Yarrowia lipolytica: one gene and its partner. The protein of the gene in region 1 purifies or fractionates together with the protein of each later gene. This does not show direct contact. Links are inferred from orthologs where the notes say so. Each region holds a gene or a part of one and is shown on either strand. Other genes may lie near its edges.

What was found.
Region 2: the proteins of YALI1_D07981g (region 1) and YALI1_F17431g purify together in Saccharomyces cerevisiae (affinity purification with mass spectrometry; 4 studies listed by BioGRID). This does not show direct contact. The link is inferred for Yarrowia lipolytica from reciprocal best matches to the Saccharomyces cerevisiae genes EHD3 and MRP4.

Annotation. Positions count from the first base shown.
Region 1 is NC_090773.1:796,174-799,891, reverse strand, and holds YALI1_D07981g (mitochondrial 37S ribosomal protein mS47), read left to right. Parts: upstream 1-1,788; coding exon 1,789-3,210; downstream 3,211-3,718. Other genes in the region: YALI1_D07945g (uncharacterized protein), read right to left, coding at 3,366-3,718.
Region 2 is NC_090775.1:1,741,265-1,744,732, forward strand, and holds YALI1_F17431g (mitochondrial 37S ribosomal protein uS2m), read right to left. Parts: upstream 1,848-3,468; coding exon 564-1,847; downstream 1-563. Other genes in the region: YALI1_F17383g (uncharacterized protein), read left to right, coding at 1-198; YALI1_F17444g (uncharacterized protein), read left to right, coding at 3,173-3,181, 3,228-3,468. UniProt on the Saccharomyces cerevisiae protein: Component of the mitochondrial ribosome (mitoribosome), a dedicated translation machinery responsible for the synthesis of mitochondrial genome-encoded proteins, including at least some of the essential transmembrane subunits of the mitochondrial respiratory chain.

The sequences.
Region 1 (3,718 bases):
GGGTATCGAGCTATTCATGCTTTTGTAGACCATGTTGATTTGAGGGTTGCGTGGGGGGAATAGAGGGGATTTAAACGTGTACATATAATTGTTGTCGCCTGTTGAACATATTCATGTACTTTTTTTGCGTCGAAAACGGACCTAGCATGCCTATTTTGAAGTCCTCTTTTCCACGGAACAAAAGAGAGAGAGCCGAGAACCATAAAAGGTATTAAACTCTCGCTGACTAATCAATCGGCTATAAATGAATGTCACCATGGAGGTCCCTTGATGAGGTAGTTGGACCATCACGAACAGGCTGAGCTTCTTACTGTCAGTTTAATTTGGCTTTGAAAGTGCACATTCCCGGTTCCAGTCTGGAATATTCTCATTTGAACGAGTTCTGGACGACATTGTGAGGTTGGGCTGGACGGACCTGAAGACACTATCAGACATCTGGGGTCTTTAGGGACCGTGTGGAAGCGCAACGACTCTGTGTTTACCGTACTTATAGTGTCGAATTGCTCTCGGTTTGTCGAATTGCTCTTGGTTTGTGCTCTCCCAAGGTTTTGTATAGTAAGAGTGGAGCAGTGATTGATACGAGGTGTGATTGTAATGGGCGATTGAATGGGGGTGTTGAGGAGGTTAAAGTCCTGAACGATGGAAATTTTGTATCTTGTACAATTGTGTTCTTTTCAGTTCAAATTTCAGAGTTGTAAGGTCCTTTTTCAGAGATTTCTGGTGTCTTCTTAGGCCCATTGATTGAGGAGGTATGGCCAAATGACCTCAACAACGGTAGAGAAATTCAGTCGTTTGATGTGTTGCAGTAATTTGATGTTACTTTTCAACGTCTTTCCCATGTCTTTTCACTTGTTCGTCGTATCTTTCGTCTGTTTCGCACATGAAATATATCGCGTTAAATTGAGTCGACCCGAAATCGAACCCACATCCATCTCTCGGGCACGGGTAAAATTTGGATGCAGTTCCACAATCAACTTCAAAGGTAAAATAATTTGTTCCTCCGATCACAGACCGAGCGTGAGTATCAAAGAGGAGGATGAGGGACAAGAGCAACGAGGGAAAGAGCTGGTAGCAGCTCTGATCTTCTTTATACAAGTCCACGAGCAAGATTGAAAGCAATTCTGCTCACATTGAGTGGTACATCATACAACCCCTGGTGTTGCAAACGTCTCCATCTTGAGGCGGAATTGAGCTGTGATGGAGAAAAGTGCTGAAGTCTCTGGAAACGTGTCGTGTCGCATTGTGGTCGGCTCTTTTTTGCCCGCATTGCGCGAACCGGTTCAATCAAATACCCCCGTGCCTGGAGACATTGCTGTGTGTCTGTCTACCCCACACACTGTACAGGAAGGGACACAAAGAGAGCTCCGACGTTCGGCCGAGTTGTGGGAGGGAGGTGGTGGCTCAGAGATACTTAATGGGGTGTTTCCAAACCACCACTACTTGACCTTGTACACGACAGTGCGACACACATCACAATGTGAGTAGACACAATCAGACTCAGACTCAGACGGACGGTCCAAGCCACATTAGCTACTTGACACTAGACACTAGACGCCAGTGCTAAGAACAATGATGCATAGACAGACACAGACAGGGGCCACAAACCAGCACGCGAAATCGACTCGGTGCGTTTGACCGCTGTCTCTTGTCTGTGCTTATGTCCTGTGCGCCCCCCACGAACCATCTCACCTGTTTATCTCCGCCTTGGATTACCCCACCACAATACAGCCTACCCTAACCACCCAACATGGGGACCTTAAAAGACTAAGCTAACCCAGCACACCCAACATGTTGCGAACACTAGCCCGAACTAGAATGCCCCTGCGAGCTCAAATCAACACCCGATTCATGTCACAGACCACGGCGGCTGCCGAGGAGTCGCCTGTACTCTTCAGCGACAACGGCACCACCCGGACCATCACCCTCAACCGGCCCAAGAAACTCAACGCTCTGGACGACCCCATGTGCCGAGCCATCTTCCCCCGCCTCAAGGAGTGGCTCAAATCCGACTCCGCCAATGTCGTGCTGTTCAAGGGCTCCGGCAACAAGGCTTTCTGTGCCGGAGGTGACGTGGCTACTCTTGCCAAGCAGAACGCTGCAGGCGCCCAGGGCATTGAGCAATCCAGAGACTTCTTCTGCACGGAATACGCCATGGACTTCCTGCTATCCGTCTACCCCAAGCCCGTGATTGCGCTCAACCATGGCATCACCATGGGTGGAGGTCTGGGTGTCTCCATGCACCTTCCCTTCCGAGTGGCCACTGAAACCACCCTCTCGGCCATGCCCGAGACCTCAATTGGTTTCTTCTGCGACGTTGGCGGCACCTTTTTCCTGCCCCGACTCGACGGAGAGCTTGGAACCTTCCTGGCTCTGACCTCGTCCCGACTCAAGGGCTACGAGGCTGTGGCTGCCGGCTTCGCCACCCACTACATCCCCTCCGCTCGACTAGACGATCTGGAGAAGGCCATCGCTTCTCTGGACATCCCCAAGGGCCGAGACGCCACCGAGCTGTACTCCCAGCTCAACGCACTGCTCAACGACTACTCGGAGGTGCCTGCCAACTTCAAGTTCCAGTACGGCGGCGAGTTCCGAGCTCTGATCGACCGAACCTTCAAGTACGACGCCATTGAGGACATTGTGGCAGCTCTGAAGCAGGAGGGTGAGGCTGGTGAGAAGATCATCAAGCTCCTGGGCGAGCGATCCCCTACCTCTGTCAAGGTGACTCTTGCCGCTCTGCGACGAGGCCGAAACCAGGACATTCAGTCCGTGTTCAACGATGAGTGCAATTACGCCGAGAACTTTATGCACTCTCGAGAGTTCATTGAAGGTGTCACCGCCAAGCTCATTGACAAGCCTGCCCGAGAGCCCCAGTGGGAGCCTTCTTCTTTCGAGGGCGTGACTCCCGAGATTGTCAAGTCGTTTATCCAGAAGCGACCCGGCTCCAAGAACGACGAGATGGAGGTGGTCATCAACGATACCTACAAGCAGTACCCCTGGAACTTTGGCTTGCCCCGAGAGGTGGAAATTGAGCAGTACATCAAGGGCGAGACCCGATCGTCGGATTACAAGGCTTCCCCTGCCGAGGTTGTCAACCACTTTACTAACAAGTACTCTGGTAAGCCTGGTGTGAGCGAGAAGGTCAAGGAGGTGATGCAGCGAAAGACCAAGCCTGATCCTAACGAGCCCAAGGTTCTTGACTGGGTTAACTAGACGAGTACGAGCGTAGGCGGTGTGCTTGTACACTATGGCAGTAATGACATAGATGACGTGTATATAAGAAAGATATGATTTGAACAAGACTGAAGATATTGTCAGTACAATAGTGAATAAATACATTAGTTAAAGTACAATACATGGTGGCCATCCTACAAAGCCATACTCTCCAGCACGTCTCTCTCATAAATAATGTCCAGTCCCAGCTCCTTCTGGTCCTCTCCCAGGCCCCAGGCCAGCCCATAAAGCTTCATAACTTGTCTGAAGATGGCGGCTCTGGAGTTTTCACCAAACTTTTCGACGCGGAACTTGAACAGCTCTCGGTGTGTTTTTTCCGTGGCGGCACATCCGGCGATGGCCATGGCCCAGCCAATGATACAGGACACGTAGGAGCCGAGCTCGATGGACTTAAGCTCCTCAACGGCCGCGGTCACGTGTCCTACAACCTCCTCTGATGTTTCCTGGAGGTCTGGGTTGAGCAGTTTCTTGGCTAGCAGAATGACGG
Region 2 (3,468 bases), on another chromosome or scaffold:
TCCAAGGAGTACAATAACCCGCAGATCCGAATGCGACGGTACGACCGAATCAAGCCTGAGGTCGCGCAGCAGCTCATGGATATGTCGCAGACCATGAAGCAACCCCAGAGCCCCCAGATTGGAGGCGGTACACAGCAGAAGCCGACTTCGCGGTTTATGCGAATGTACAGGAATGCGTCTGGTGCACATGAGCCTTGAGCATAGCAAGATGACAGCTTATGTACTACTGAACAAGACCACGATATATAGATTAACATGTATGATATGATTGAACATCTACTTCAGTGCAGTCAACAGCGTTGTTTTCATTCCACCCCACCACATTATCGTACTACCTACTCGCACCATACTCAGACATTACAAGTATGTATTGTATCGTAGAACGGTTCCAAAGTCTTCATATTTCGATTCTCTATAGAAGAGCTCAGTACATGCACAGTCTCAATTTTGTTCTCACTACTAGTCATATATCTCGATCTGCTCGAGGGTCACAGTGTCATTCTGTTATTCAATACACTGGCATTCTCGCGAATACCTCTCATTCATGGTCTCCTATATGTACATTACTCCTTGTGGGCCTCTCCGGAGGAGAAAGGGTCCTCGGTCACGTCATTTTCATCGGCAGCCTGCACAAGATTCTTCTTCATGTGCAGAAGCTCGGCGTTTCGTCGCTGCTGCTCCTCGAACCGTCGCAGCTTGTGTCCCTTCTCGGCTGCTCGAGCCAGCACTCCAGTGATCAGATCCGTGGTTCGGAGAGAGTCATCGTTGGCGGCAATGGGGTACGACAGCTTGGAAGGGTTAAAGTTGGTGTCGGCCACTCCGACAGTGGGGATGCAGGACTTGAGACACTCTCGGATCAGAGCGGGGTTCTCGTCGGGGTTGAGGATGATAACCAGATCAGGTCGCATGTTAGGGCCCGAGATCTCTGCGTCAAACTCTCGGCCAGTGTGCTGGTTGATGTCGGCAAAGCTGGTTCCAGACTCGCCGTCCACCACCTCGTATCGTTTCCAGTTGGCGGCAATGTTGGAAAAGTTGGTGATGGCTCCAGGAATCCACTTGGAGTGCACGTAGGAAGCGCCGCATCGTCGCGACATGGCCTCGAGCGCCAGCTTCTGGCCGTCACGGGTGCCGACAAACAGAATCAGACCGTTCTGCTTGGCAACAGCCTCGGTGATTCGAGCAGCTCGTCGCAGCTGGGTGACGGTCTGCTCAAGATCAATGATGGAAATGCCGTCTCGAACGCCGTAGATGAAAGGCTGGTTGTTGACGTGACCGAGCTCGACGGCATGGCCCAGATGAGCGCCGGCAGCCAGAAGACTGGTCACGGTGGCCTCGGTGCCACTCTTGGGATGCTTGATGATATGGAGAGGATCGTAGACGCCCTTGACCTCGGCTCCCAACTTGCTGAGCATATCGTGTCGGTGCTGTCGTCGCAGAAACAGCTCCTGCTTGGTGTACTCCTCATCTCGGGCGGTTCGCTTGAGCAACGGGAAAATGGCAGCAATCTTACTCTGGTCATTACCCACTCGGATGTTCTTACTGTCGATTCGGCCCATCAGGGAAGACAGATCGGCCTGGGGGTCCCCGCCGGCAGCGGCGTTTTTGGTGCCTCTTGCCTGTCGTGCAATCTCCTTGACCTGCTCCAGCTTCTCACCGGCCTTGAGAGCCTTCTGGAACTCCTGGAACTTGGTGGACAGCTCCTGCTCCAGCTCGGGAGACAGAGGGACATCGGCAAAAGTCTCGGCGGGGGTGACCCGCAACGCTCGCAGGTAGTCGTAGGACTGGGTCTTGGAGCCGACCTTGGCGAACGGCGACTTGGTCGAGTACCGTCGGATAGATCTCAGCATGTTCGGTGGTACCCTGTTGTTTGTGCTGGTGCTGGAAAATTGGAAATTTCACCTTGCACAAAGGTAGGGTAACATTGGGAGGTGAATCAGCGACAGAGGGCTCTTGGATGTGGGGTGTGTTGAGTGCGATATTGAGGGAAAGATAACGGGGCTTTTGAAGGAAATGGAACGAACCGGTTACGTGATAGACGATGGAGGTGACCACTTGGTTTTTTTTTTTTTTTTTTTTTTTGGTTTTTTTTGATTCAAGTTGGACTGTGTTGTGTTGATATCAGGACTATTGAGAGATTCTGTATCTGCAGAATGCTGATTATGTAAGTGAGGAAGTGACCAAGTGAGAAATGAGGAAGAGAGTGATCTCAATACTGATGAGACCTTGGAGAAAAAGGGAAAAGACGTTAATCAAGTGTTGTTTCATGGGTATTGTAACTACTGATCTCGTTCTTTTGGTGATTCTCGTGGAGACCACCGTGGTAGTGACCCTCTTGCCGATCTCAATACCAATGGATGAGAGAAAACTCGTATCTAGATGGGTTTCGACAGATACTGTTGTTCAATTAGATAGGAAATGCTTGTATATTCATCTGGTTTATGAAAAACGGCTGATTGAGTGTCAATCCCGTGGTAATCAGATGTTACTGACTACATTGTTGATTCCTGCTCTACTGCTTGCCTGTAGTCTGCGATTTCACTCCAACTAAAACCTAAGTATATACAAACACTGGAATATGGCGTTGACTGCGACTACTTGACAGTATGTAAGGGAATGTGGAAATGATGTTACATTATTCGAGTAATAATGGCTTAATTGATGATTTGAGGGTCTTCACACTTCAGAAATAGTCCAATGATCCCAAATTTGAGACTCCAGACCACTTACGGCCTTAACTAAAGTCTAGTTAATTCCACGAGTGCAACATATCCCAGACATATACTGGGTCAGAAGCCGCCAAAGTGCGTTATTTGGATACCAGAATGATCGCAATGGTCCAAATAACACGCTGGTGTGGTTATAAATGCTCCCTTAGGGACTACAACTGGAGTTGTGATCACTTCCCTTATTCTGCCAGGCCGGGTAACCCCAAAATTTCACTTGAGAAAACAGACTGTTTTCAGACATGTTTATATGTACTGTATTTACGACTGTATACGACTTCTACCTACTACAACTCACAATACGGGGAGGTGCTCAACGGCCTAATGTATTATCCCAAGAGGTGCGGTTCTTTCACCTACTCCCCTTGATTAATTAACAGCATAGGTTCGGTCAGCCTACATCCTCCTGAGGAGGTTCAACTGCCTACGTCCTATTCACATTTTCCGACATGCAACATGTGTACAGCACTCTGGATGGCTGTCCGTCCGAGTTGATTGACTCAGGCTTGGATCTGGCTTTCACTGCTCTTTGGACTTACTAGCTCTGTTCTGTGGTACTGGCTCTGGCTCTGCTCTGGCTGGAGGGACGGGCGTTTGGCATTATTGCCGTGTAGGACTCATTGGCTCACTCAGACTGTTGCATTGCTCTTGACCGTGGAGGTGTCTTACGATCTTTGCTCTAGTGCGTCTCGGCTGGCTTCTCAGCGGCTTGTCGGCATTCGCACTGGTAGCTCTGGCATCTCAG